7 linked regions of the Callithrix jacchus genome follow. The main gene of each other region encodes a partner of the protein of the gene in region 7 in a complex. Links are inferred from orthologs where the notes say so. Each region holds a gene or a part of one and is shown on either strand. Other genes may lie near its edges. The genes, in order: PPP1R7, PHACTR1, TOX4, WDR82, RB1, CDCA2 and PPP1CA.

What was found.
Region 1: the proteins of PPP1CA (region 7) and PPP1R7 are in contact, whole or in part, in a crystal structure (PDB 8U5G), measured with the Homo sapiens proteins. The link is inferred for Callithrix jacchus from reciprocal best matches to the Homo sapiens genes PPP1CA and PPP1R7. Residues at the interface, in NP_002699.1 of Homo sapiens: Arg23, Pro24, Leu40, Arg43, Arg96, Gly97, Lys98, Ala128, Ser129, Ile130, Asn131, Arg132, Ile133, Tyr134, Gly135, Tyr137, Asp138, Lys141, Arg142, Ile146, Lys147, Trp149, Lys150, Asp154, Asn157, Pro192, Thr193, Asp194, Asn271, Cys273; in NP_002703.1 of Homo sapiens: Asn84, His85, Tyr86, Arg87, Arg106, Gln107, Leu109, Tyr128, Asp129, Gln131, Asp148, Ser150, Phe151, Phe170, Val172, Glu192, Gly194, Ser195, Phe214, Gly216, Lys217, Ser236, Gln238, Ser239, Tyr258, His261, Ser283, Glu300, Trp302, Asn304.
Region 2: the proteins of PPP1CA (region 7) and PHACTR1 are in contact, whole or in part, in a crystal structure (PDB 6ZEG), measured with the Homo sapiens proteins. The link is inferred for Callithrix jacchus from reciprocal best matches to the Homo sapiens genes PPP1CA and PHACTR1. Residues at the interface, in NP_002699.1 of Homo sapiens: Pro24, Arg43, Gln68, Tyr70, Asp71, Arg74, Tyr78, Arg96, Gly97, Lys98, Ala128, Ser129, Arg132, Ile133, Tyr134, Gly135, Tyr137, Asp138, Trp149, Lys150, Thr153, Asp154, Asn157, Lys168, Ile169, Met190, Arg191, Pro192, Thr193, Asp194; in NP_001309240.1 of Homo sapiens: Arg424, Lys425, Ile426, Leu427, Ile428, Arg429, Phe430, Ser431, Asp432, Tyr433, Val434, Glu435, Val436, Ala437, Asp438, Ala439, Gln440, Tyr442, Asp443, Arg444, Arg445, Ala446, Lys448, Pro449, Trp450, Leu453, Lys458, Ile461, Arg462, Glu464.
Region 3: PPP1CA (region 7) and TOX4 share a complex: the UniProt entries of both Homo sapiens proteins name them as parts of the PNUTS-PP1 phosphatase complex. The link is inferred for Callithrix jacchus from reciprocal best matches to the Homo sapiens genes PPP1CA and TOX4.
Region 4: PPP1CA (region 7) and WDR82 share a complex: the UniProt entries of both Homo sapiens proteins name them as parts of the PNUTS-PP1 phosphatase complex. The link is inferred for Callithrix jacchus from reciprocal best matches to the Homo sapiens genes PPP1CA and WDR82.
Region 5: the proteins of PPP1CA (region 7) and RB1 are in contact, whole or in part, in a crystal structure (PDB 3N5U), measured with the Homo sapiens proteins. The link is inferred for Callithrix jacchus from reciprocal best matches to the Homo sapiens genes PPP1CA and RB1. Residues at the interface, in NP_002699.1 of Homo sapiens: Lys168, Ile169, Asp242, Leu243, Phe257, Arg261, Met283, Thr288, Leu289, Met290, Cys291, Ser292, Phe293; in NP_000312.2 of Homo sapiens: Lys873, Lys874, Leu875, Arg876, Phe877, Asp878, Ile879.
Region 6: the proteins of PPP1CA (region 7) and CDCA2 are in contact, whole or in part, in a crystal structure (PDB 5IOH), measured with the Homo sapiens proteins. The link is inferred for Callithrix jacchus from reciprocal best matches to the Homo sapiens genes PPP1CA and CDCA2. Residues at the interface, in NP_002699.1 of Homo sapiens: Gln20, Gly21, Ser22, Pro24, Tyr70, Asp71, Leu73, Arg74, Glu77, Tyr78, Asp166, Lys168, Ile169, Asp242, Leu243, Tyr255, Phe257, Arg261, Pro270, Ser284, Glu287, Thr288, Leu289, Met290, Cys291, Ser292, Phe293, Gln294, Ile295, Leu296; in NP_689775.2 of Homo sapiens: Lys391, Arg392, Val393, Thr394, Phe395, Gly396, Asp398, Leu399, Ser400, Pro401, Glu402, Val403, Phe404, Asp405, Glu406, Ser407, Leu408, Pro409, Ala410, Asn411, Leu414, Gly417, Gly418, Thr419, Pro420, Val421, Lys423.

Annotation. Positions count from the first base shown.
Region 1 is NC_133507.1:162,429,369-162,433,522, reverse strand, and holds the start of PPP1R7 (protein phosphatase 1 regulatory subunit 7), read right to left. Parts: upstream 2,801-4,154; 5' UTR 2,772-2,800; coding exon 2,720-2,771; intron 1-2,719. UniProt on the Homo sapiens protein: Regulatory subunit of protein phosphatase 1.
Region 2 is NC_133505.1:17,700,343-17,704,462, reverse strand, and holds the start of PHACTR1 (phosphatase and actin regulator 1), read left to right. Parts: upstream 1-1,320; 5' UTR 1,321-1,688; coding exon 1,689-1,941; intron 1,942-4,120. UniProt on the Homo sapiens protein: Binds actin monomers (G actin) and plays a role in multiple processes including the regulation of actin cytoskeleton dynamics, actin stress fibers formation, cell motility and survival, formation of tubules by endothelial cells, and regulation of PPP1CA activity.
Region 3 is NC_133509.1:55,990,333-55,993,832, reverse strand, and holds part of TOX4 (TOX high mobility group box family member 4), read right to left. Parts: intron 2,558-3,500; coding exon 2,315-2,557; intron 1,393-2,314; coding exon 1,132-1,392; intron 811-1,131; coding exon 580-810; intron 1-579. UniProt on the Homo sapiens protein: Transcription factor that modulates cell fate reprogramming from the somatic state to the pluripotent and neuronal fate. In liver, controls the expression of hormone-regulated gluconeogenic genes such as G6PC1 and PCK1.
Region 4 is NC_133516.1:34,802,070-34,806,320, forward strand, and holds the start of WDR82 (WD repeat-containing protein 82), read right to left. Parts: upstream 2,801-4,251; 5' UTR 2,511-2,800; coding exon 2,350-2,510; intron 1-2,349. UniProt on the Homo sapiens protein: Regulatory component of the SET1/COMPASS complex implicated in the tethering of this complex to transcriptional start sites of active genes.
Region 5 is NC_133502.1:67,638,881-67,642,984, forward strand, and holds the start of RB1 (retinoblastoma-associated protein), read right to left. Parts: upstream 2,801-4,104; 5' UTR 2,639-2,800; coding exon 2,505-2,638; intron 1-2,504. UniProt on the Homo sapiens protein: Tumor suppressor that is a key regulator of the G1/S transition of the cell cycle. The hypophosphorylated form binds transcription regulators of the E2F family, preventing transcription of E2F-responsive genes.
Region 6 is NC_133514.1:16,048,636-16,052,135, forward strand, and holds part of CDCA2 (cell division cycle-associated protein 2), read right to left. Parts: intron 2,507-3,500; coding exon 2,310-2,506; intron 769-2,309; coding exon 684-768; intron 1-683. UniProt on the Homo sapiens protein: Regulator of chromosome structure during mitosis required for condensin-depleted chromosomes to retain their compact architecture through anaphase.
Region 7 is NC_133511.1:124,477,355-124,481,465, forward strand, and holds the start of PPP1CA (serine/threonine-protein phosphatase PP1-alpha catalytic subunit), read right to left. Parts: upstream 2,801-4,111; 5' UTR 2,704-2,800; coding exon 2,649-2,703; intron 2,119-2,648; coding exon 1,987-2,118; intron 1,831-1,986; coding exon 1,600-1,830; intron 877-1,599; coding exon 772-876; intron 374-771; coding exon 150-373; intron 67-149; coding exon 1-66. UniProt on the Homo sapiens protein: Protein phosphatase that associates with over 200 regulatory proteins to form highly specific holoenzymes which dephosphorylate hundreds of biological targets.

The sequences.
Region 1 (4,154 bases), on a different chromosome or scaffold from region 7:
AAATCATTTTTCTTTGTTTTTTTTTTTAGATGGAGTCTGGCACTGTTGCCCAGGCTGGGGTGCAATGGCACGATCTCCACTGCAAGCTCCACTTCCTGGGTTCAAGTGATTCTTCTGCCTGAGCCTCCCGAGTAGCTGGGACTACAGGTGCGCACCACCATGCCCCCCTGATTGTTGTATTTTTAGTAGAGATGGGGTTTCACCATGTTGACCAGGATGGTCTCAATCTCTTGACCTAGTGATCCACCCACCTCAGCCTCTCAAAGTACTGGGATTATAGGCGCCAGCCACTGCGCCCGGTCCATTTTTCCTTTTTGTAACGTTATTCACGACCTCTTCTGGAAGTCTGTCTGGAAAACACGAGGCACTAACGCATTACTTGGAATTATCAACCACACTGAAAATACTCTCTCCTGACTATGGTTTATCTACAAAGAGATGTGCTCTTTGAGGGAGAGAGTTCAATTTCATCTTTGTATTTCCTGCTTAGCCTAGTAGCAAAGTAAAACCCAAGAAAGAATTGCTGAATAAAACAAATCCTTATAAAACCGACCTCCAAAACCTCCAGATCCATCTCTTCTTCCCTACCCTGGCAATGACAGTGGCTCAGTTACCTATTAGCTGCGGCCTGGGCTCCTGGCCTGCCTCCTAACTCGTCTCTCTGTTAACCCATTCTCCATTGCCAGAGAGGCTGATCTAATTCTAGAATCCAAATCTGATCTTTGAGTCCCAAAGTATTTCTAGAATGCTCTTTCTGAGTTTGCATCTTGCTGCTGGAGATGCAGCTTTGGCAAATCATTTCCATTTCAGAGCCTCAATCTCCTAGTCTGTGGGAGGGAGTTAGTGTAGAACCCACACCTCAGCGAGTTGCTGTCAGGGTTAAATCAGAAAAGGCACAAGAGCGGTCAGCATGTGCATGACATGCAGCAGATGTTTAACTAGGCACAGGGAACTTGGTGGTCCAGGCTTAGGGAGAGAAAGTTCTACTAAGCGACAGGCTGGTGCAGAGACCCCAGGAAGGGGAGGAGGGGTGAGGTTAGGAGAGGCTTAACTAATGAAGGTTAGCCAAAATGAAGGGTCTGGAACATGGGCCAGTGACTCAGAATATAAGAAGATTACTCTGGTGTACTGGGGATGAGGGGCTGGTGAGTAGGGGCAATCCGTCTAGCCTAGAGATGACAAAGGTTTGAGTTAAGGTACAGGCAATGGGAATGGAGGCGGCATCGAAGACTTGGAGATAGTTTTAAAAGTAGAGGTGTCAGAGCTCCTTGACTAATAGGACACGGGTGGGAGTGGGGCAGAGAGAAAAGCCCGGCCTTTATATTTGTCATTTACTAAGACATGGAAACACTTGAAGAGGGAGTGGGAGGACACAAAGAGGCACTTCTTACTTAAAAAGCCTCAAGGGTATAAAAGTCCAAGACCCTTACCACCACCGCCCCCATCCCTATCACATATGACTTGGTCAAACTCTCTTCCACACCCTTTGACTGCAGTTTTCTTCGCCTGGAGTGATTCTTGCTCTTTTCCCTCACCCTATTCCCAACCTCGTCGCCTTCCAGTTATTCTTCAGGCCCCAGCTCAGGGCTGGCCTTGCCACTCCCAAACACGTCAGCCCTTCCTTCTGCACCCACCCTCCTCCCCCAGCTCCACATTCCTCTTCCCTACCACTTTCACAGGAGGCGGTGGCTGTTCTTCGGCGAGCTCTGTAACCCTCACCAAACCGTGGGACCCAAGAGCATTCAAGCACTTGACGACTGCTTCCCAGTTGGCGGTGACTGGGCGTGTGCATGCATGTGCACACGTACCGTACATACATGTATACGACTGTACTGGGTGTGTGCATGCATGTGCACACGTGCCGTACATACATGTATATGACTGTGCTGGGTGTGTGCATGTATGTGCACACGTACCGTACATACATGTATACGACTGTACTGGGTGTGTGCATGCACGTGCACAAGCACCGTACATACATGTATGACTGTCCCTACAAGCATGTATACACACACGTGTATATAACATGCATGTGCACACGCACCGTACATACATGTATACGACTGTACTGGGTGTGTGCATGCATGTGCACACGCACCGTACATACATGTATATGACTGCCCCTACAGGCATGTATACACACACACACGTGTATATAATTTTTTCCAACAAAGTGAATGAGGAGGAAGAAAGTGGAATTTAGTCTTTTGGGAACTATGACAGCTTTGAAAACAAGCATCACCTTCCGAAACTCAATCTTCTGGTTCCTCGTTACCCCTTCGCAACAGTCCATTCGATTTCAAGAGGAGACCCTTCTCCACCCTCGCCACGTGAACCAAGGAGCAAACTACGGTGGGTCCCAGCGCCCGGAGCCTCAGTTTCCTCGTCAGCTGACCGAGGACGCTCCCCCGCCGGTCAATCTCAGAGGCTCGGGGCGAGGCTCCAACTGGACTGAATGGAGCCGCCGCGTCCCATTCAGCCCCACCCCCGGCCTGGCCTCGCGCCGCCGCTCTCCCCCCAGCCGCTGCCGCCCTCGAGCCAGGGCTCCCTGAAGTCGAGCCTCCCCCGCTCCCCCCGGGTCCGGCTGTCAGCTGTCAGGGGGCCGCGAGGCGGAGACCGGAGGTGGGGCGTGGAGTTTCTTTCAGGCACGGAGCAGTTCCGGCCCGCAGCTCCCCCCGCCCGCCGGGCCTTTGGGCCGCCGCCCGCAGGGGCCGCTCACCCTCCATCATCTCCTGCGACTGTTGCTGCCCCGCGCCGCGTTCCGCCGCCATGTTGGCTGCTCTTCCCCTTTCCGGAATCTGTCGCCTCAGGTCCCTCAACCAATCAGGGCTCCCGCCTCAGAGTCGGTCCAACCAATGGGATTCCGGCGCGGCGGCTCCAGCAGCGGCGCGCCTGCGCGGGCCCAGCTCCTCATGGGAGTTGTAGTTCTTTCATGAGGCCGCGCGCCGTGCCTCCCCCGGGGCAGGTAATTTAAGGCAGCGGAGCCGGAGCAATCTGGAGGCGAGAAACTGGGAAGGAGAGCAGGGGGAGTCGAAGCGGGACACACAGAGCCGAGGCTGCCAGCGGATGGAGAGGACGTCGAGGGAGAGTGCAGAGACGCCCTGGGCTCGAGGATTGACTTATGTCCCTGTCCCGACCTCGGAGACGTGGAGGGGCCGCGGGCCAGGCGGATCTCTCCGTGGCTGCAATTTGCGGGCCGGTCCCCCTGGCCTCTGCGAGCCTCGCTGGCTGCGTCTGTACAATGGGCCGAACGGCAAAAGCAACAACATTCTCCCGGCGTCCCCGCGCGGATTTTACCCGTGCGAAAGGCCGCCTTTTTCTGACGCTCAGAGCAGCCGGGTAGGTGCGGGGCACTTGCGCTGGTGGGGCCGCCAGCCGGCTGGCCGGTTCTGGGGCTCCAGCTGGGCTCCCCTTGTAAGCCGTTCCCATCCCAGCGCGGACGAGAAGCTGCAGTCTTCGTCTATCCCGCGGAGCCTCCGGGCCCGTAAGCAAGCCGCCCCGCGTCCGCTGACTTCAGAAAGAGGCCGCCAAGGGGCCAGCTCTGCGCTACTCACCCTTTTTGATCCCGAGACCGGAGGAAACCGTATCTGCCCGGCGGGGGGGGGGGGGCGGGGGCGGGGGCGCCCATTCCTTTTGGGTCCTCCGAAGCGCCGTAGGAGGTGTCTGCTGCGTCCCTAGCAACCGTTAGCGCGGGCTTCTGGGCTGCAGTTCTCTTAGTCCCGCCCACAAGCACAAGTGGTTGGTCCTTGAAGCTTGTCAATCGGCGCGAGTCGCTGTGCGATTGGCCGGTGGGATAGAAGCGCGGATGGGCTCCCTTCCGCGGTGTGAAGCCTGCTCGGGGTGACCCTCGCCTGACCCAGGTGAGATCCTGCGCCGGGGAGAGCCAGCTGCGCTCCGCAGTCTCCCGAGGGCCGCTATGGGGCCTGCGCTGCTCTCAGGCGAGCCAGACTCCGGGTCTCCGGCCCCTGCGCCCCTCGCTCACCGCCGAACCTGCGTCCTTTCCGTGCTCAGGTCGCGGCGGGGTTGCGGCCGTTGGCCTCGGGCCCCGCGCCCCCTGCGTCTTCGGGGCTCCTGTGTAGCCTGCCCCGCGGGAGCCGCCGTCCCGCGCCTCGGTCGCATCCTCTGGGACTATGCGCTCTCTTTGCCGCCGCCTA
Region 2 (4,120 bases), on a different chromosome or scaffold from region 7:
CAGAATGAACATGAAGCTCTCTCTTATCATGCTGATATGGGCAGAACTTTTTACAGATAAGAAATATCAAAGATGATAGAGGGGTAGAACTGGAGTGAGCAGAAGCCTCTTGTAATATAGTAATCTAATATACTCAGCTGATCATTGACCCTGTTACCTGTGAGGCAACTGTACATGTAGAATTTGCCCAGTTGGAGGAGAGACTAGCAAAGAACTGCATTTTATGGGAGAGGGAGTCATAGGGAATTGTGAAATTAGCTTTGAGGAAGTTCCTAGAAACAACGATAATGACAGTGCATTCTTTAACTGACACTATTCTGGTAGGCTGGAAAAGAGGACGAGCGTGTGACTCAGAGTAGGCTGGAAAGAACACAGATTTGGGGGCAGACACACCTGGCTGTAAACATCTGTATCTCCATGTATGCTTTGCATCAAAGTCACCGAGGGAGATTGTTAAAGGGACAGATTCCTAGACACTGCACTGACCTACTAAACCAGAATATCAGGATTTGGGGCTCTGTAATCTATATTTTTAAAATAAGTACAGAAGGTGATTGTGATATGGGGCTTCTCTAAGCCTTGGTTCTCTAAAAGGTGATAGAGGATTGTTGTGTGAATGGTGGTTTATTGGAAATAGTGTGATTTTAATAAGGCAAATCCATGGCTGAAGAATAATAATTACAAGTTATTGAGCCTTGATTTGTTCTGCATGATTTGTTAAGACACTATTCTCCCTGCAATCCCAGCTACTTAGGAAACTGTGGCAGGAGCATCGCTTGAGCCCAAGAGTTCGAGGCTGCATTGAATTGTGATTATGCCACAGCACTCTAGCCTGGGCGACAGAGTGAGAGCCCATCTCTAAAAACAATTTAAAAGAAAAATAAAAAGAAAAAACACTGTTCTCCCTTTGGAAATCCTGGTGGATGACGCTTTGTTAAGCCTTAATCACTGTGCTAAAACAGCTGGAGAGTATTTGGCCAAATTAGGCGAGAATCCCAAACTCGCAAATTGTTCTGAGTCTTGATAAAATCAGCATTTCTTTTTCTTAATGACCCTGGCGTTAAATCTTCTTTCGGGTCGGAGCATTTCTATGGGAGGTGAAAACATCAATTATGTTGTAACAGGTTGTCTGCTCCAGTGAAAGTCAAGGGCTGCGGGTTGGACCCGCCGGAGAAGGGTAATTTCTTGTGGCCCCGGAGGGGCGCTTGCACCCGAGGGCTCCCGGCGCAGCACTTCCACTGCGAAACATTTTGCTTTCATTCGGCAGCTTTAGGCGTGAAGAAAAGGGGGAGGGGGTTGGCGTTCCGCCCTGGAGCTCTTGAGAGTGAAGGTAGCTGCAAACCCAGCTGGTTCTCAGTAGCTGGTGCTGAGATTTCCGGAGGGGTGGGGCGGCCAGAGGAGGATGTGCACGTGGGGCCCGGGGAGAGGTGGGAGTGGAGCGTCTCAGGTGTGACCGAGGAGCGCCCTGCGCACCCGCTCCTCTGGCCTTGGGATTCGGATTGGCTCCGGCAGCGAGGTCTGCGAGGTCAAGACCCTTTCGGCGCCCTCCCGGACCCGCCCCGCCGCGGCGGCGTAAATGTAGAGCAGCTGGCGCAGGCGGGGCGGGGGCATGCTGGCGGGGCAGAGGGGTGCGAGTGGCAGCGCGCGGGGGTCGGAGCAGTGCCCGACCCCGGGCGCCTGGGGACCGGATGGCGGAGCCCACGCGCTCAGCGAAACCCAGGAGGTTTGCGCTCCGCTTGCGGCGCTGCAGGGAAGGCGCGGTGCCAGGCGCGAGTGCCGAGAAATCCAAAAAGAAAGCTTTTTATTTGCTGAGGATGAAGCCCCTGAAGGAGCCCGCCCCCAACAACAACAACAACGTGTCCTTTGTGATCCACTGTCAACTAGGCAAGGAGATTAAACACATTTGCAGCAACTGCAGTCGCGGTGAGGACGCCCGGGACGGTGAGTGTCGGGGCCCGTCGGGGCGACGGCAGCGGTGGGCGCTGGAGGCGGGGAGGTGGCTCCGTCTCAGTTTGGGGGCCCCGCCGGCGTATGCCGCCTGGAGAACTGTGGGGACATCCGCTCTCCACCCAGACATGACACCCGCCCGCTGGGCACCTTGCAGAGTGCCACCCACGAGCCCAACCCGGGCTCGCACCCTGCATTTCCCATTGACGTATGTGGTCCCCAAAATGAGGGTTTTGATACACTTAAAAGAGCAAGTCGGATTTTCACTTGGGAAGCTGAGGTTTAGGGGATTTGCTGGGGGCAAAGGATCTTATTCCTGCTTTTTCTTTCCATGAGCTTCTTAACTGTTGCCCCATGCTGGTCATACGTTGGGATACAGGGTTTGCTGGGCTGCGTTACGGACGTGGGCTTCCTTCGGGTGGCATCAGTTTGGAGAGGCGGCTTGGCGGCGGCGCCCAGCGCCCTAGAGACTTGTGGAGTTGTTGAATGATGCCTGTTTAGAGTAAAACATGGCTGTGATTTTTGGAGCGCGGCTGCTGGTCCCTGCTGGAATGATGCCCAAAGGCCAAAATGGGGAGAGGTGGGGGAAGGGGCGCGCAGCGGCATTTTCCAGGTGAGCTTGGGCGTGTGCGAGCCAGAGCTCTGGCAATCCAATCTGAAGCAAGACAGTGAAGGGATAACCGGCTGCCAGCGACTCTGGGCGGAAGGAGCCCAGAGCCTGGGACAGCCGGCGCGGCCCAGGCAGGAGCCTCTGCAGCTGTGGACGCACCTGTGTGGCAGAGCATTCGCGCAAGCCTCCAGGCGGTTCCCGAGCAGCTCACAGAACAGGCTCTTCAGGGCCGCTGGAGGTCATGGAAAAGTTTTAGGCAGCAGATTTTGCATTGAAAGCCTTAGGTACTGGCCGGCCTGGTGCTCATCTCCATGCCTGACCCGCACACCTGCTTGGGCAGGCAGATTTTTCCCATCAGCCAGGCAGGTTTTGCTGTTCCTTTTGGAAGAACAAACATTACCTAGGATCCTTCCCATTCTTAGTCTGCCTCTGAAGTGCAGAGTAATGAAATGACTGTGACTTGGCTAATGTCTTTTCAAAATTAGAGTCCTACTAGCGTCATTATCGTTTTCTTTGATTAAACTTCAAGAGAGACTGTGCAGGACAGCACCGGATATTCAAGAGGAAAACTGGGATGGGACTGGAGGAAGGTGCCCACACAAAACACAAGAACGCCACTGCTGATAGATGGGGTGGGGAGTGGGGTAGGGTGGGGATATGTTTCTGAGAGGCACATACTGACAGGTGTTTCGATTTTTGTGATTACTACATCAGCTGATAACGTCAATACCTATGGAATACAAATGGGTTAATCAGATGACCCAAAGCCAGACCTTTCCCATGTAATGAAATAGAGCTTGAGATGCAGGCTAAAATGTTTATTAAAATGTTTATTAAATGTCGGTTGCTCTCTTGACTGAATTGCTGCCCAAATGGGCTGCCTTCACAACCTTGGGAGTTTATTTAAATTAGTATCTGTAAATGCTGCTACAGTAAGGAAAGGTAAATGTCCATACTCAAAATGTGTTGACAAATGTCATTATGAGTGCCATCACTGGTCAACGCGGTGTTCCCTGTCAATGGAGGCAGGTACGTATTTTAACCTATAGCACATAGTTCTTGAAACATGCATCATCTCCATGGCCTCACACACTTCGGAATGTTCCAAGTAGCTATGTATGGATGCTCACATATCACCTGATAGGATTATTTACCCTCAAAGCATTCTTCAACGGGGAAGACAATGTTGTAGTGCCTAATTTTATGCTGCTAATCCTGCCAATCTAATGTGCGGTGCACTCATTTAATCACGAAAATTGAATGAGGTCAGGAGTCTAACCCTTCTTTTGTTATTGCCAGAAACCACAGCAGCACTGCCCACTGTGGAAGTTCGAATAAATTTCACTTCTGGCAAGGATTGGCCTCCCGTGATAGTCTGTAAGGAGTGGATGTTCTTTTAGATAAATTCTCTAGAAGCAATTTGCAATTTGAATCATATTTTCTACATGCCAGGAGCACCAGCTGTTTTAAAACATTTGTATGCTCGAGATCATTGTGAGGCAAACAGATTTCCCCAATGTCCTATTTTGTCAGGCTCTATAGAAGAAGGTGCTGCTTAAGGTG
Region 3 (3,500 bases), on a different chromosome or scaffold from region 7:
GCCCAGGTTGGTCTCGAACTCATAGGCTCAAGCAATCCTCCTGCCCTGGCCTCTCAAAATGCTAGGATTAAAGGCATGAGCAACCACACATAGTCTATTAATAATTTTTAAATAGGTTTTCTGGAGTCAGTATATAGCTGCAACTTCTAAGACAAAGGATGATATGTGTCATTAACAAACAGCTGGTACTAGGTAAGAACATGTAAGAAAAAGGAAAACCTCAGTTTTTATCTCTTTAAAAACTTCTGGAACAGGCTGGGCACGGTGGCTCAGTTTGGGAGGCCAAGATGGGCAGATCACGCGGTCAGGAGTTTGAGAACAAGCCTGGCCAACATGGTGAAACCTCGTCGATACTGAAAATACAAAAATTAGCTGGGCGTGATGGCACGTACCTGTAATCCCAGCTACTCGGGAGGCTGAGGGAGAATCGCCTGAACCTGGGAGGTGGAGGTTGCAGTGATCCAAGATCATGCTACTGCACTCCACTCTGGGTGACAGATCGAGACTACATCTCAAAAATAACAAAAAACAACAAAAAATTCTGGAACATTCACTACTAGTTTCTCAATATTTGCTCACCTGTTTTTGTTCCTCTCCAAGACTATCCCACATGGAGGCTACAATTTTTGAAACCTCGCCAAAAGTGGCATTAGGATTCTGTCCCTTGATGGCAGCCTGTGTATCACGAAAGAATAAAGCATACGCTGAAACTGGTTTCTGAGGTTCATTAGGATCTTTCTTTTTTCTCTTCTTTGGGGCCTTCTGCTTTTTCCCTGTCTCCACCACCACTGTCTTCTGGGTGGGAAGTTGCTGTAGGGGAGAAAAGAGAGAGAATTACATAATGGACAATGAGAAGTATTATGTCTGGAAACTAGCTAACGTACAGCATTTTCAGAAATGCTAAAAATTGTGGTAATAGCATTAAAAGACATTAGTCAAGTATGGTGAACCAATAAGAATAGGAATTGAGAGGAGAATTATAAACTGGGAATTGGGAGGTGGAACCCCATACCCAGAAAAGAGCAGAGGAGATGCCAGGGCAGGGGTAAAGAATACTCATTAGGCTCTGTATGTCAAGAGTTTTATCCTAGACTATCACGGCAGAGTTGATTTTGACAGGGAATGCCTCACCCTCCGGAAATCCTCAACACCATCCTCCTGAAGTGAACTAGTAGGTGAAGGGGTGGTTGAAAGACGATCTTCAGGTGACTGGGCAGGTGGCAGGATGGTGCCACCCCCTAAGCTCAAACCCAGTTGGGAACTCAGTTCTGACTGATCAATGGTGGTCAACTGGCTATGCCCCATCAAGCCAGATGTCATGTCTGTCATTGGTACATCAATTGTAACAGGTGGGTTGGCACTATACTGAGTTCCTATAGAATGGTCCAAATCCTGAGAGAAGCAGAAGGACTAATTAAACATTAAATATAAAAAAAACCACTTTCCCCCCTGAATATAGGACATCTTATAAATTTCCTGCCTACCTAGACTGTATCATTTAAACTACAAAACATCAAATAACTTGTCTTCATATAAAACAAATTAAGCAAAAACAAAAATATTTTTAAAAACTAAGCTTTTTTAAAAAGTACAGAAATTAATGAATTTATTTCTCTGCACTCAAAAGAAGAAATAAAAATAATCAGAAGTCATACCGTTGGATAAGTTAAAGAGCAATCAACTTATTCAGTAATCTATAGGTAGTGACAACACACTGAGTAAAGAAAACCTTCCTGTCTGTACCCTCCCAAAAGCTTTTAAAATTGCAATATACAGGCAATCAGCATAAATAAGCCCATTATTACAGAAATTTGGCATCAAATACAGAGTATGAAGATGTTCTACTGCTGAGATGTGCTGGAAGCCCAGCATACTGATTTATATCACATACTAATCCACAATTAATACTCTATTTGGCTCAGACCTTTAAAAAAAAAAAGCACTATTCTTTCTGCTAGCTTCTCAACATGGTTCAGACCATTTCTGAATAAATCCCTCCATGTGTCAGCTATCACACTCAAATTTGAATCCTAGGATTTAAAGGCCATAATAAAAGCAGAAAACATTTTTTTCAAAAACCACAATAATTTTCAAACCAGACATTGTACAATTTTAAATTATTTTTCAAGTAAAATCTACCTACATGGTAAATTTCATTTACTCAAGTGAAATTAAATCTTAGTTGGTGAGCCTTTAGCCACAAGAATGAGAAACAAGTAATACCCAAGTGGAGTACGGAATAAAGAGTAACTTTTGTCTCCTCTAATGCCATGCCCATTAGCTGGGGTAAGCCTGACAATGTCTTGCCCCTTACCATGGTCAAGCCCCCACTCAGGAGCCCCCCGCCCTGCTCCATCAAGCCATGGGTCATGCCCACAGGCATGTCCAATGTCTGGACCCCATACTGGGCTGAAAAACTGCCATCCTGTGAAGAGGAAGGGTCTGCCAGGTCATCAAAGTGGCCAACCACATCTGAGACAGCCAATGAGGGATCAGAGTCCAAGGAGATAGGTGGGATTTCAAATTCTTCATCACCCAAGCTTGGTGTATGGAATGTCTGTAGAAGAAAAAAGGGGGAAGAGAATTCGTGAAAAGAGGAGAAATGGCATACAGCAAGTGAACGTATTAGGGTATTTGAGATTCTCAGGGTACATTTTTTCTGCTTAGGATCCTATTTTGTAATCGATTTCTTAGAACCTATTTAATTTTACAAATCTCTCTTCTTTCTAATACTCTTGGTCATATGATACATTCAAGGCAGCTAACAGCCACAATTTTCAATTCTGTTTTTTTTTTTTTTGAGACGGAATCTCGCTCTATCACCCAGTGGCATGATCTCAACTCATTGCAACCTCCACCTCCCAGGTTCAAGTGATTCTCCTGCCTCAGCCTCCTGAGTAGCTGGGATTATAGGCACGTGCCACCACGCCAGGCTAATTTTTGTATTTTGAGTAGAGATGGGGTTTCACCATGTTGACCAGGCTGGTCTTGAACTCCTGACCTCAAGTGATCCACCTGCCTTGGCCTCCCAAAGTGCTGGGATTATAGGCATGAGCCATTGCGCCTGGCAATTTTCAATTCTTGTATCTCTTTTCTACCATTACCATCTCTGTTGCCCTAAATTATGCCTATTGTTCTAATGAATAATTCTTTCAGTACCATTACTTAGATATAGCCTTTATAACTTGTTTATCTATGATCCTTGACATCTCTCTAAAGATTCTCATAGAGAACAGTTAGTTTCACAATTATTACACCTAAACTGTTAGGCCACAGAAATTCATCGTTAGCCAGCCAATTATACTTTGTTGTTTTAGGTTCCTTTCAAATGGATGCTAAAATGTACTGTCATGGGAACTTTATCCCCCTCTAACGTATTTGCACTTAGAGTTTCCTACCTCTTCTCCACTTTAGAAATTATAATGTTAACAACAGAAATTATAATGTTAACAACAAATAGATTCCCATTTGTATAGGATTTTCAGAAGACCTCAACAATG
Region 4 (4,251 bases), on a different chromosome or scaffold from region 7:
TGCCTGTAATCGCAGCTACTCAGGAGGCAGGAGAATTGCCTGAACCCAGGAGTCGGAGGTTGTGGTGAGCCGAGATTGCGCCATTGCACTCCAACCTGGGTAAAAAGAGCAAACCTCCGTCTCAAAAAAAAAAAAAAAAAAAAAAGGGTTGGGGGGAGGCACACAGTATATATAAATATTTACATGCAGTAATGAAGCAAATGCAGAAAATGTAACCAGTTATTGAATCATATGGCAGTTCTCTGAAACACTTGCAAATTTCTATGTTTGTAATTACATAAAAATGCTACATGAGTGAATAAACTGCCTGATGTCACAAAATTGGCATTTTACTCTTAACAAGACAGGACTTGGCCAGGTACAGTGGCTCATGCCTGTAATCCCAGCACTTTGGAAGGCTGAGGAGGGTGGATCACCTGAGGTCAGGAGTTCAAGACCAGCCTGGCCAATGAGGTGAAACCCATCTCTACTAAAAACACAAAAATTAGCAGGCCATGGTGGCGGACACCTGTAATCCCAGCTATTCAGGAGGCTGAGGCAGGAGAATCGCTTGAATCCAGTAGGCGATAGTTTCAGTAAGCCAAGATCATGCCACTGCACTCCAGCCTGGGCGACAGAGGGAGACTGTCTCAAAAAAAAACCAGACCAGACTCATGTCAAGGTTATACTTCCCAAAGAGAAATTATGCCAAATTTGGGGACAAACTGCAAAGAAATGCTATCACAACCTTCATTTTCTTTAAATGAGGATATATGATCTCCATCCTCATATTCTGGGAAGAGGTCCTAATCTGTGCATAAGCACTAAACGTTTCATGCAAGCCAGCTTCAAATTACTACTCCAGGACTCCACAACTCCAGCTACTACCATACCTTTAAATGTTACTTCCTCTTCTAAACTGATTCAAGTGACCAGACCAGGACAGAAATCTATCTACTAAATGAGTAACACTGACTCAAACTATTTGCCCAGCTAACAATTCCCTCCTCAAGACCACCCTGCCACATACTGCAAGCAGATCCAGAGCCAGTTACATAACACTTTTTCACAGCCCCAGTGGGAAAAAACTGGGGGTGGGGGGGGGATACCACTATAGCTCAGTCCAAACTAGTGTTACCTCAGATAATCAAATTCACAAATGAAAAGACACGTTCCAAAAGACACCAGGGGGGGAAAAAAAAAAAAAGCAAAAGAAACAGCTGGAGAAGGTAGAAAAAAACCCAAGATCTCAAAAAAACAAGATGTGTTACTAAGTAACAAAATCAAGTCTGACAAAACCAGGGGCCACCGATTTAAACCAAACATCAGCAAGCCTTCATGGGGAAGGGGGCTGAGGGTAAAACGAATTTAATCTAAGCTAGTTTTGGCTCCAAGGAGCTGCAAGTCCACAGGCGTGCGGTGAGGGGGCTGCCAGGGACCCCCCAGGGAAAAAGGCAAAGTGCCGTGCTTAGGTTTTGTGAAAAGATGCAGGTGTGGTGGGTCTCCAGATGACTTGCGGCAACATAGAAATGTCATGGTCAGAATTGGAATTCAAAGTGGACCAACATATTTAATAATAATTTTTAAAAAAGGATGAAAGGAAACCCAAAAATGTTCTACGATGCTTGCTTTGTTTTAACGGAAGCTCACATTCAGGTCAGGATGGGACGACCAAGTTTGTTTGTATGTGGCAAAAAGGAAGTTTTAGATGCTGCTGAGAAGTTCACTTAAGAACGTGGGCACCGATTCTGACGGAGTAAGAGAGAGCCTAGGAACAGGAAGAAAATGCAAGGGGGCTCAAAGAGGCACAACAAATAAATCCTGACAGCTAAGAACTGCAACCCACGCGGCCTGACGGCAGAAAGGTCGCAAGAAGCTGAGGGGCAGGGGATGGGCGGAGTGCCAGGGAGGAATCGAGGTCACAGCGGAGAGGGCAGAAGAGAGAGCTGCCGAAGGAGTCAGGAGAGCCGCCCCTGCAGTCCTGCGACGAGGACGGAGACGACCAGCACCTTAGAGAACCTGAGGAGCTGAAAACGCTACCTGCTGGGCCCGGGGTGGGCAGACCGGGCGTTTAAAGGTCAAGGTCAAGGTGGGGCTTGGCAAGCGATGCATAGCGCTTTAAGGAGACCTTAGACATACAAATAATAATGCCATTATTATGACTATCACAATTTTTTTTTTTTTTTTCAGAAGAAAAAATAAAAGGTCTCCTGGACGGCTGCGGGGTGAAGGTGGCCCTGGCAGGAACGCGTGCAAAATAGACCGGGGACTGAAGTCGAGACGGAGGGCGGGCAGAGGGACCAGTGCTGGGCCACCGGAGGGAGGGAGGGAGGGACTGAGACCCGGGCCCAGGGCCTCCGCCTCACTCACTTGCCCTCCTGGCAGTCATAGAGCACGATGGAGTCGTCGTCGCTGCTCGAGATGACCGTCTCGCCGTTGGGGCTGAAATCGAAGCAGTTAATCTTGTCCGAGTTTTCGCGGAACACCTTAGCGACGCGGAAGCTCCGCAGCACGCTGTCGGTCAGCTTCATGGCGGCGGCAGGGGAAGGCAGCGGCGGCGCAGGGCCGGGGCGGGGCCCGGCGGCGAGCGGGCGGGCTGCCGAGGGGCCAACCAGGCGGGGCCGGCGCCGCGCCGGCGGCTAGCGGGAAGTCGGCCGACAGTTGGGCCGCCTCCTCCCCTTCCTCCTGCTTGGACAACAGTCTTCTGCCTGGACTGTGGAGCCTCGCCGATCTTTGGTCCTCACAGCCACCTCAGGGGCAACTAGCGCGTAGCCGGCTCATTGTGTCCGCCATCTTGGGGCGACAGGCAGAAGCGGAGGGCGAGGAGCTTTAGCCGCGGCGCACGTCGGGAAAGGGGGCGGGGCGGGAACAGCCGCGCGAGGCGGGGAGGCGGGGCGGTGACGTCAGCGCTGCCGCTGTCGAGTGTAGTGGCTCGGCGGGCTGCTGGGAGGGAAGGGTCGGGACGTGCAGGGCCTTCCCCAGGGTGTCGGAAGGTGGCGAGTGCCTGGGAGCCGGGGGCCCTTGCGCGGGCTTGCAACATCCCCCTACGAAGGCTCGGGTGTCCCCTACAGGCGCCCCAACCGCAAGCCGCGCGGAAGGGGTGCTTTGGGGTCGGGAACGCGGCTGGAAGCCGGTTTTGGGGGTGAATCAGGTGAACCGCTCGCAGGCGGTCTTGACCGCTACTCCACCGCAGCGCCCGCTTAGACAGCTTCGACCTCTTTACTATTTTATTGGGCTGTGATATACAATAGAGTGCACAATTTTTTTTTTTCAATGAGACGGAGTCTCGCTCTGTCGCCTAGGCTGGAGTGTATTGGTCTTATCTCCGCTCACTGCAACCTCTGCCTCCGGGGTTCAAGCAATTCTCTGACCTCAGCCTCCCGAGTAGCTGGGACTACAGGCGTGTGCCACCATGCCCAGCTAATTTTTTTTTATTTTTAGTAGAGATGGGGTTTCACCATGTCAGTCAGACTGGTCTCGAACTCCTGACCTCAGGTAATCCAACAGCCTCAGCCTCCCAAAGTGCTGGGATTACAGGCATGAACCACTGCTCCCGGCTTCATAACTTTTCTTTTTGAGAAGGAGTCTCACTCTGTCCCCCAGGTGAGTGCAGTGGCAAGATCTCAGTTCACTGCAACCTCCACCTCCCAGGTACAAACGATTCTCCTGCCTCAGCCTCCTGAGTAGCTGGGACTACAGGCTCTCACCACTACACCCAGCTAATTTTTGTATTTTTAGTAGAGATGGGGTTTTGTCATATTGGCCAGGCTGGTCTCGAACTCCCGACCTAAGGTGATCTGCCAGCCTGGGCCTCCCAAAGTGCTGGAATTATAGGCATGAGCCACTGTTCCCAGCCAGAGGATACAGTTTTAAATTCGAATTTCTTCTTCTCTTCATATATATGCATATAAACCTTATAGATGCAACCCTCGCCCCTTTTAGTGTTAAATCTTACACATTTTTCCATGTTAGTAAACCGGATTGTTGTTGGTGTTCTTGTTTTTTGATATGGAGTCTCACTCTTGTCACCCAGACTGGAGTGCCATGGCATGATCTCAGCTCACTGCAACCTCTGTGCTATAGCTGGAACCTGAGCAACACCATTTTAGAAAAGACAAAGCTGTTTTTCAAAAATAAGTTGTAACGGCTGCCCCATTCTCCTCACAATGACTGCTAACCTTGGCTTCTGTAAATAAAACTGCTTACCTTTTCTTTCTTTTTTTTTTTTTTGAGATGGAGTTTCGCTCTTGTTACCCAGGCTGGAGTGCAATG
Region 5 (4,104 bases), on a different chromosome or scaffold from region 7:
TTTTAGATAAGTGTTCTCATCTGTGAAAGTAAACATTTACAGATATCTATCAAATCAGAGAAGTTAAAGAACTTATCAGAGGTCTCAGCCAGTAAGAGGTAAACCACCATGTGACCCCAACAGTCTAACTTCATAATCCATGTCCCTGACCACTATTCTTGACTGCCAATTCCTCCTTCAAAACATAATTAGTTTTCTTTTCTTTTTTTTTTTTTTTTTTTTTTGAGTTCGGGTGTCACTCTGTCACCCAGGCTAGAATGCAGTGGTAAAATCATAGCTCACTGCAGCCGTAAACTCCTGAGCTCAAGGGATCCTCCCACCTCAGCCTCCTGAGTAGATGGGACTACAGGCATGCCACATGACTGGCTAATATTTTAAAAAATTTTTGTAGAGACAGGGTCTTGTTTTGTTGCCCAAGCTCCTCTCAAAATCCTGGCCTCAACCAATCTTTCCACCTCAGCCTCCCAAAGTGCTGGCATTACAGGTGTGAGCCAACATGCCTGGTCAGCTTTTTTGTTTGTTTTTTTTAAAGACTGGGGTCTTTGTTGCCCAGGATGGTCTCCAACTCCCAAGCTGAAGCGATCCTCCTGACTCAGCCTCCTGAGTAGTACGGACTACAGGTACATGCCATCACATCCAGCTCAAAACCTTCTACTATTTCAACAATGAAGGTGGTATGCTATTCCTAATGAGTTTCCCTTCCAGCTACATTACTTAGGCCAGAGATAAGGCAACAGAAATAAGATCTCAACTCTCAAATTAGAAATGGAATCTGTCACTAGAAGGGCAGTTGGAGTGAGCCCTGATTCCATCTCCAGGCAAGATGCTGCTCAGCATCAGACTGCAGGTTAGTGGTTCTACCCTTGCTCATTTAGAGTTTAACTGTCTATGTTAATTAAACCCTCGGTGGGTACAGATAAACAAGAACAGACTGTATCTTGCATGGTTTTGACTTACAAGATAATTTTTTATGGTTCCATTACTTAAAATATATAAAATAATGAGTTAAAAAATGAAAGAAACACAATCCTCTTTTTTCCAAACAGTAGCCAGAACCTCAATATTCTAGCTACCCTACATTAGAGTATGCTTCCAAAGCTATGTGCATAACATGGAATTCTTTAGAGTAGCCATTACTGCATTTTCCCAAGGGAACTTTGGAAGAATTGGACATATCAGAATTTAATCAGAAAGTAAAGTCATGTCTTTTCTCAGAACATGCCCCAGATGTGGTTTTTAATTTTTTGTTTTGTTTTTTAACGAATATGGTTTTTAAATGACCTATAAGACATTTCATTTAAATATATAAATTTTTAATAGCCTTCCACGGGCCATTTCTAAATCCCATTTCAATCTTTTACGCTGTGAATTCTGTTAGTGTCTACCGAGTGTAAAAAGTGAGTGAGGGTGAAAGGATTTGGTGATAGACGAAAAAGGGTGAGAAAATAGTGAAAAACAAAAACAACTCCCATTCCCCTGCAATGAACCTGTAGTCTCAAAGTAGAACCAGTGATGAAAAAGAAAAGAAGTTGCAATACAATAAACACTTTCCTTCAAGTTCTAGTGCATCCACATGGACTTGCTTAAATTTCGATTTCACTTAGTAAGGGAAAAAGAAAATTTCCATGTGAGCACAGAACCACTAATTTTGTGCCAAAAGCAAAGACAAAAAGAGGGGACACCAGGATCCTTGCTGGCTCAAAGGCAAAAGGCAAAATGGAAGAAATAACGAGACAAGCTGAAGCCGACCAACGCACAAGAAGACTTCGTCCAACAGGAAAAAAAAAGTTTAGAAACTTTCAAGTACTTCTGGTAAATGTCTCACGAAAGTTTTGCCCATGTATCAGTTCCTCTGAAGAGTTATGCCCCCATAGTCACTACAGATGGCTTTGAGTCCCCAAGGCCTCGACGCATTGTTCTAAGGAAACCCGGAAAGCTCCCGAGCGGAGTACCCTGTAGGCAATGGACACTCGGGACCCTGCGCTTGTCGTCCAAGGCTCTTTGGTTGGGCTCTCCCACGACTGGGTTTCCGATGCAATGCACGCCTAGAAGAAAATACTTCCCAACTGTTGCATCGCGTAAGACTAAAACAGAAAGTCAAATGACCACTGGAGTACTCCAGATCTTAAACGGTGAAAAACTCTCCCACAGATACCAGTCATTTTTGTATTTTTATTTTTCACGTCTGATGGACGCTCCCAACGACCCTCCGCCTCCGAGCCTCCGCCTCACGAGAAAACTGCACCTGTCACTTCACTTAGGACCCTAATCCCACCCGCCGACACCTGTCAAGCTGAAGCCGAGACCCCTAGCCCGCGACCCCAGAACCCTGTTACCATTCTGCAGACGCTCAGCAGTGGCTGGGGGCAGGGAGGGCGTTTCCTCCCGCCAGGACCTGGCCGCCGGCAAGAATGCGTCCAGCCGAGCCACCTCTGCGCCCGCCCGATTGCCGCACCCCCGGGGCACCCTTCCCGCGTGAGGCGGCGGCTGCTCTGCTCGCTCACCTGACCAGAGGCAGGTCCTCCGGGCCGCTGTCCTGCTCTGGGTCCTCCTCAGGAGAAGACTGAGGCGGCGGCGCTGGGGGTTCCACGGCAGCGGCGGCGGCGGCGGCGGCTTTTCGGGGCGTTTTGGGCGGCATGACGCCTTCCCGCGGCTGGAGGCAGCTAGCTGTGGAGGAATGCCGGGGAGGGCGACGCGTGCGCACGTCGGGGCACGCCCCGTCCTCTCCCGACTCCCGTTACAAAAATAATTTCAACGTCCCCAGAGAAAAACCGGACGCGCCTTCCCCCGCCCGGCAACTGAACGCCGCGTCCAACCGCGCGAAAACGTCACTTCCGCCCGCGGCGTCACGTCCGCGAGGCTTCCCGGGCCCGCGGGAGTCTGTGGGGCACTGGGGCGCTGGGCGGTTCGCAGGCTGGAGCGCTAGGTCGTGAGGGATAAACTGGGAAACCCGGCGTGGGTCCAAGCGCCTTCCGGGAGGCATCCGGCGCGGCCCGGACGTGTTTCCACTCGAAACCACCCCCTCCAGGCTGGGGTGTCCTTAACAGGGCTATACAAATAGTTCAGCGGAGGACTGTGGGCCGGGTCCCTATCCCGGGGTCTGACACGGAAGGCGCTCGGGCCCCGCGGGGAGTATCTGGCGAGTGCACCCTCAGCGGGCGCGCACCTTTGCCTCCCTGGGCGGTGTCCGCCGTCTCCTCCTGCCCAGTCGATTTAGCAAAGTCGGCCAAAACTAAAACAAACTTGGAGCGCTAATAGGTGCTGAACTTTACTAGTCACTAGAAGATGCAAAATGTTAGACAGTTGCTGGCCTTTAGGGGATCACTGGTTAGGGAAAGGGGAGGGATCTGTGGGAAATGAACACAGAATTAATGTAATAAAAGATCTTCTCAGTGGTGTAAAAACGGGAAGCACCGTGGAAACATTTAAGGGAGATTTTCGGAGGAGCAGTAGTTGTTGAATAGAAGTTTGCCAGACAGGCCTGACATTTACTGTGTACCAGGAACTGTGCAGATCGCCTTACATAATTAATCCCCAGAAACAGCTTTTTTTTTTTTTTCTTTAACTTCAAGTTCTAGGATACAAGTGCAGAACGTTTACCTTTGTTACATAGGCAAACGTATGCCATGGTGGTTTGCTGCACCTATCAATCCATCGTCTAGGTTTTAAGCCCGGCATGCATTAACTAAGAAACAGTCCTTTCTAATGGGTAGTATTAGCTAGTTACGTTGCAGACAGGGAAACAGGCTCAGAGAAGTTAATTTGCCCAGTATCATGGCAGATGGGTAGCAGAGGATTTAAACTCAACTGTATTTGATTCCGTTTGTCCATTACATTATTTTGATGAAGAAAACAGAGAAGGCGCATGTGCAAAGGCACAAAGACATTAAAAAGCTTGTTGGGACTACCATATTGGCTTAAAACTATCGCTTCTGTGTCTTGGTATTTATATAAATAGATTATTGAATTTGAGTACATGTTTTTATCTCTGGTAGACAGTTATTGCCCACTCAGAACTCACCAACTGAGAAGGAATGAGATGATTTGTGCTGTGAATAGACTACAGTTGTGCTCTGATGTAAATCCCCTCATCCTGTAGCAGCT
Region 6 (3,500 bases), on a different chromosome or scaffold from region 7:
GAGGAAATTCATCTGTAGAGTTCGTAAAGTTTCCGTGTGAAATTGTACAGTATTACCTAAATAGACCATGAAAGGTTACAGAGCAATAAGTAGGAATAGAAAACATACTATAAAATGACAGATGTGAATAAAACCATCTAAGTAATTACTTGAAAAGTTAAGAGGCTAAATATTCCAATCAAAAATAAATTATCAAAATGGATTTAAAAAAACACAAGATCCAATTATATGCCCATAAGAGCTTTACTTTGAAGACCCAAATAGAATAAAAGTCAATCTAAACCCTTGCTAGGGTTCACTCAGTACAAGCATACTGATTTTAAGAAGTAATAAGTAATTATTACATCCTGATAAAACTCTTTTTACATGCGTAAAAACAAATAAAAATACTATGAGTAGTGTTTCTCTAACAAAGAATACTTGTTAATATATTCATAGGTCCTGCCTCTTTATACTAAATTTCATGAGCTTGTAAATACTTCACTAACTCTTAGTGATGGTAGCTTAAAAAAGAGGATATCCCTCATATTACAAGAATTCGGAAGCATGTCTCGTGGGCCATAAGATCCTAAAAAGTAGGGAACCATTTCAGTTCCCCTAAATGTTAGCAAATAGGTACACTAATCATAAATGTCTATGAATCAGGCAACTGGATGTGTACTAAGAAAAAGTTAAATACTTACCATTTGAAATCTCTGTGAGCTCTGAAAGGGGAAGAGACTCTTCCACGAAAAATCCAGACTGTGTTGAACCAGGTTTAGACGATTTCTTGAGGAAACATTGAAAGACTATTACATTTTATTACTTACAGTACTACTAATACCTTTTTGAAGATTTGAGTAAACATTATAGATTACCTGGAAATTTGGTATTCAATCAGCCACCTTCATTATCTCAAAAACTCAAAGCATACAGGAATCTAACAATGAAGTATTCATACTAATTGCATCCTAAACATCCCACAAATCAACTTTTAATTCCCCAGGAAACGTTTAAAGGACCTATTTTTGTTGTTAAAGCCTAGACAGTTGTATCTACAGTTCTTTAGAGAAAATTCTCAAAATAAAGACAAGTTTATCTAATTATTAATCAAAAGCCAAACATCATCAATAACTAAGATACGAAAGCCATTGAAGGCTAAGATAAAAACACATTCACACTAACTCAGAAATAATGTCTGAATCATGATGTATGTTCAAACAATTAACCAAAGCTCTGCTTACAAACAATTACCATTGTTTCTGTCAGATGGGGATTTCACATTAACCTGAATAAGGCAAAGGGAGCCAAGATTACAGGTGACTGAGATACAAAGGAAACCCACTGGAACCTGAAGAATCTCTTAACTACTATCGAACCTTTATTCCACCAGTCCACATCCAGTGAAGAGGATGAGCACTGGATCTAAGCGACAGAGAAGGTACAGAAAGCGTTCCAACTGTAATGGTGTTAGGTGTCTCCTCTCACAAAGGACATGAGAAGCTACTGTGTCAAACCAGAACGAGGAACGTGAAGCAGGAAAAGCCCATCATGAAAGCCTAGCTCCCTGTTCACACGTGCGTGAAGGCCGCCTGATCTTCACTTAGTATTATTTTTCTCCTAATATCACCTTTTAATCATCTTGACAGGGTTTAGGTAGTTATAAGCCACAAAATTCCCTAGAGCTACTTGAAAGAAGTGAGCAGTGCAAAGGAGCAATTGCTGAATGGCACCCTGAATTCCAGTCAGTAGGAAAGCAGTAAGGGCCAGGAAGAAGCGCAAGACTCCCAGACCTGCGGAGTACACCCCACATATAATCTCCACCTGATCCACCAGCTCCACTGAAACCATCTGCTTATAACCCACTCCCCAGGAGAAAAAATACTGCCTGAGGGCAGGACTGTGACTTCCTGCCTTCTTGGAGCATCACCCTATAGAATATCTCACACACAGAAGACCACAGGGCTTATTCTCTTCATAAGGTTAGTAGTCAAAAGTGAGATCTCTATCCAAACGCTTTCTAAGAAGTGATAGATACCAACAACCAACCATAAAATTAACAAGTAGTAAACACGCACACACACACACACACATACACACACCCCAGCTACCACAGAGCAGAACGAGGTAATCATAAAATTAACAGGTGGGAAACACATACATACACACACACACACACACATACACACACACACACACCACCACTCACCCATCTAGCTACCACAGGGCAGAACGAGGTAGTAAATTGAAGAACAGCACTGAAAGCTTTAAAACTGCCTATGCAGAAAACCAACACTTCCTTCTCCTATGTGTAAAGTTAAGTGAATTACCTCGGAAAGATCTGCAGAAGTTTCAACTGCACATCCTCTGTCTGTATCAATACTGAGTATCTGGAGATCAATTGCTTTTCCTTCAGCATCCCTTAGATTTTCATCAGAGTCCCTCTGACAGGATATCCTCCGACGTTTGGAGGCCAACACTGCAGGGAACCCAGACTGCTGGCATGCTCTAAGACCTGCCTTTCCGGCTATAAACACAAAACAAAAACAAAATGACACAGGCATAAATGTTTTCATACATACACACACATATATACATATGCATATATGTGTGTGTGTAGATAGATATAGATATAGTGTGTGTGTATATATATATTGTGTGTGTGTGTGTGTGTCAGACGGAGTTTCGCTATTGTTGCCCAAGCTGGAGTGCAATGGTGTGATCTCGGTTCACTGCAACCTCCGCCTCCTGGGTTTAAGCGATTCTCCTGCCTCAGTCTCCCAAGCAGCTGAGATTATAGGTTAACACCACCAGGCCCAGCTAATTTTTTGTTTTTAGTACAGATGGGGTTTCACTGTGTTAGTCAGGCTGGTCTTCAACTCTTGACCTCAGGTGAACCACCCGCCTCAACCTCCCAAAGTGCTGGGATTACAAACATGAGCCACCATGCCCGGCCATTGTGCATCATCATACTTTTCTTACAATCTAAGAGCCTAAGTCTAGTAAAATCTAGTGCCTGAGTCTAAATTATCAATGAAAAGAAAAATCTAGCACAATTTTTTATAGCAAAAAAAAGAAAATCTAACTGAAAGGAATGGAACATGCCTATTGAAAAAGAATACATTTAATTATTAGAATTGAGTTTTTTCAGAACCTAAAACATGCAAAGATATACTAAAATACTTTTGCGTGTCTAATACAGTACCTCACATTTTAAATGTATGATGACAACTGTTATTTTATTTATTTGACATGGAGTCGTGCTCTGTTGCCCAGGCTGGAGTACAGTGGTGCAATCTCAGCTCACTGCAACCTCTGCCTCCCAGGTTCAAGTGATTCTCCTCCCTCAGTCTCCTGAGTAGCTGAGATTACAGGCATGTGCCACCACTCCCGGGCTAATTTTTGTATTTTTAGTAGAGACAGGGTTTCACCATGTTGGTCAGGCTGGTCTCAAACTCCTGACTCATGATCTGCCCACCTCATGATCATGCTGGGATTATGGTCATGAGCCACTGTGCCCA
Region 7 (4,111 bases):
GTTGGGAGCTGAGAAAAGTGTCACCAGCTGCCTCTTGGCAAAGAACTCATAGCCATCTTCTACCACCTGGGTGCAGACCAGAGCAGTCAGTTCTGCATGCTGGCACTGGCCTCCCTTTCTCCCACCCCAGGCCAGAGCTGCCAGCCCACCTGGTGCGCCCGGCAGATGAGGTCCAAGTCGTGCTTGTGCAGGAACTTGGCCACCACCTCGGCTCCGAAGGTAAAAGACACGCCACGGTCGTTCTCGCCCCAGCCTTGCACGTCCTTGTCAGGGTCAGACCACAGTAGGTCACACAGCAGGCCCTGGTCAGGCACGTCTGTGGGCCGCATGATACGCCGGATCTGCTCCATGGATTGCAGGTCTGGGGACAAGCCTGGGGGACCGGGGGAAGTCCACATCCTCAAACAAGGACATCCTCACTCCAGGAAGCTGTGGCCAATCAGCCTCACCTTTCCCACTGCCCCCTTGATTCCTCCACAGGTCACCTGGGCACCCAGGCGGCAGAAGTCATCCCCTTCCCCTCAGCTTTTGCAGGTTCCCAAAGAGGCACAAAGATGTCCCCGCCCTCAGGAGCGCAGAGCTCCCGGGAGATAGACAAGCCAAGCCTATTCCATGTAGGATGCACAAGGGAGTCAGCGCAGCCCGGCACAGGGGTATGGGAGACACTTCCCAGAAGGAGTGACTTCCCAGATGAGACAGACCTAAGGAGAGCTGGCCCGGCAATGGGGGATGCGGCCAGGTCTCCTTGTCCCCAGCCGTCCCCTCCCTCACCTCCGTGGCAGCAGAAGATCTTTTCATCCACGATGGCTGCGATGGGCAGGCAGTTAAAGCAGTCCGTGAAGGTTTTCCACAGTTTGATGTTGTAGCGTCTCTTGCCTGCCCAGGAGATGGCTGTGAGGGGCCCGCCTACCCCACCCTCCACCTGGGTCCCTGGGCTATTCAGACGCAGATGGGAGGAGAGAGGCTTGGAGGCAAACCACCCTGCACCCTGCCCCTGTCCCCACTCCTGCCCCTGCAGCCTATCAGCCTTCCAGGAACTATTCTCTTTACTTTTTATTTTAACTTTTAATTAAACAGTCTTGCTCTGTCACCCAGGGTCAGCTGGAGTGCAGTGGCGAGATCATAGCTCACTGTAACTTGGAGCTCCTGGGTCCAAGTGATCTTCCTGCCAGAAGTAATTCTAAAGCACCCAAGTCCAATGAAAACTGAGTTCCAATCTGGACCGGCCTCAGGGCTGGCACTCCCCAAACACCCCCACCCATAAGCTGGGCCAAGTACAGGTCTGGTTTATCTCAGCTTCTGGACAGCTGAGCCCATCTGCAAACACATCCTAAGTGCTTAGTAGCAGATGTAAGTGGAGCCTCACCAGGCAGGGCCCTGGGAGCAAGCACCAGAATACCAGCAGCCTTCCAGTCAGCAACCATGCCCCAGACCCCGTGCCAGGCAGGGCAGGGCAGGCACGAGAATGGAGCGGGCCCTGCCTTCGTGGAGCGCACAGTCTAGCAAGTGTCTGTCAGATACGAAGCCAATGTGAGGGTCCCACTGAATAGCAAGGAGCGTTTCGGGACCCGGGCAACCCTGGGTGCTCAGACCACTCACACTCATCGTAGAAACCATAGATGCGGTTGATGCTGGCACACTCGTGGTTCCCACGGAGCAGGAAGAAGTTCTCGGGGTACTTGATCTTGTAGGCCAGCAGCAGGCAGATGGTCTCCAAGGACTGCTTGCCCCTGTCCACATAGTCCCCCAGAAAGAGATAGTTGCTCTCCGGAGGGAAGCCCCCATACTCAAATAGTCGCAGAAGGTCGTAGTACTGGCCGTGGATGTCACCTGTGACCCATGGAACCGAGTAAGCTAGATGCTGGGTCTAGACTTGAACCCAGGGCCAGGACTAGGCTCAAGGGAGGAGGGCTCCAGGAACTTTGTGGGGGCCAGTGCCACTTTTAGGAAGCCAAAGGGGCCTGGGCGAGGCTGGGGGCTGCTCACCGCAGATCTTGAGGGGTGCCTCCAGCTCCAGGAGAATGGGCTGGCTCAGGAAAATCTCCCGGGATTTCAGGCACAGACCGCGGATCTCGTTCTCTGTCAGCTGTACATTCTTGCCAGGCCGCGAGCCCTGCACTGGGGGCGCAATGCGGAGTCAGGACCCTGGCCTCTCAGACAGGGGGAGGGTGGGCGACACGGTGGCCCCGTGGATACCTCCGGGGGCGCCTAGGCCTCCTCGGCCCCTCCTTGCCCAGAGGCAGCTGTTGCTGCTGAGCCTCCTGGGACGTCGGCCTCAAGCCTCCCAAGGGAAGCCCCCCTAGTTATCCTCAAAGGCTCGGGAGGCGACTGTCGTGCGCAGGGGGCTGCCGCCCAAAACCTCACAGCGCAAGACACCTCCCTGGACCGGGCTTCCCGGGTTTCTCCCTCGCCCCAAGAGCCGAGGCAACCCGTGAGCCCCCGGCCGGGGAGAGGGGGCTGCTCCGCGCCTCGAAGCCGGCCCCGGACCTCTCAGGCGCGTCCGCGGGGGGGGGCGGCTGCGGCCACGGAACCTCGCGGCGCGTCCCCGCCCAGTCTAAGCTGGCCCCGGGGGCCCGCCCGCGCGCCACTTCCGGGCTGGGCAGGGGTCCAGGGCGCGGCGGACGCGGACCTTCCCCACCCCGGCCAACCTTCCAGCAGGCGCCCGATGATCGAGTCCAGGTTGAGCTTCTCGCTGTCGGACATGGCGGCGCCGCCGCTCCAGTCCAGCAGCTCCGGGCCCGCTCCCGTCTCCCGCCCTCCGGCTGCCTCCTTCCGGCCTGGCTCTCCTTCCGCCCGCCCCAGTCCGCCCCCGGCCCGCCGCTCCGCCTCCGGGCCTCCCGGGCCCGCCCTGCCCGGCCCCCCGCGCTCTAGCGCCCCCGCTGGATGTGAGGCGCGGAGGCCCAGGGGGCGGGGCCTCGGCGGCGGGCTGGGGGCGGTGTCTGTCGGGGGCGGGGCCGAGGCTAGTTACGCCCGAGAGGAGGCGCCCAGCTCCGTTTCGAGGATGTGGGGCCGGAAGGAATGTGGAAGTTGTTTTTCTCTTTCAAAAGCTGAACAGCCCTTCCCACCCCTGCCCTGGGTGGAGGGTGTCGTGAACACGTTAATAACCGGCTGCCCCGCACTGAGGGTTAACTTCTCCAAATGCAGAAAGGGAAACTGAGGTTCAAGACATAGCGACAGGCTGGTTCAAGACCTGGACCTCGCTTGCACCGAGGACCCCCTTCCTCGTGGGTCTCCGTGGCCCCCAGGCGGCTGACCACACTCAAAGACAGCTAGAATTCCCAGCGCACTTTGGTCCTTGGGGCATGCTAAATTAATATTTTCTTATAAGTCCCATAATTAGCTTTTTTTTTTTGAGGCGGGTTTTGCTCTGTCCCACAGGCTGGAAGGCAGTGGCGCGACCTTGGTTTAATGCAACCTTCCCCTCTTGGGTTAAAGCGATGACAATGCCTCAGCCTCCAGAGTAACAGGGACTACAGGCGGATGTCACCGCGCCCGCTAATTTTTGTATTTTTATTAGACGGGGAGTTTCCATGCTAGCCAGGCTGGGATCACAGGCCTGAGCCATCACACCTGGCCCCATAATAAGCTTTGAGTAGCACAGTAATATTGCAGGGTGTGCACGTAAAAAGAATTATAAAGAGTAGACATTACATGAACCGTAATTACTGTTGGAACCCTGAGTTGGGTGCTTTACACACCAGTAACCTCAAAACTGGAGGTGGGCTGGCCATCGTGGCTCAGGCCTGTAATTCCAGCACTTTGGGAGGCTGAGGCATAATGATCTCTTGCGCCCAGCCTGGGCAACATGGCGAAACCTCGTCTCAACACAAAACACAAAAATTGGCCAGGCACCGTGGCTCACACCTGTAAGCCCAGCACTTTGGGAGGTTAAGGCAGGCAGATCACAAGGTCAGGAAATTGAGACCATCCTGGCTAACACAGTGAAACCCCGTCTCTACTAAAAATACAAAAAATTAGCTGGGCATGGTGGTACGTGCCTGTGGTTCCAGCTACTCAGGAGGCTGAGGCAGGAGAATCACTTGAACCAGGAGGCAGAGGTTGCAGTGAGCTGAGATGGCGCCACTGCACTCCAGCTTGGGTGACAGAGAGA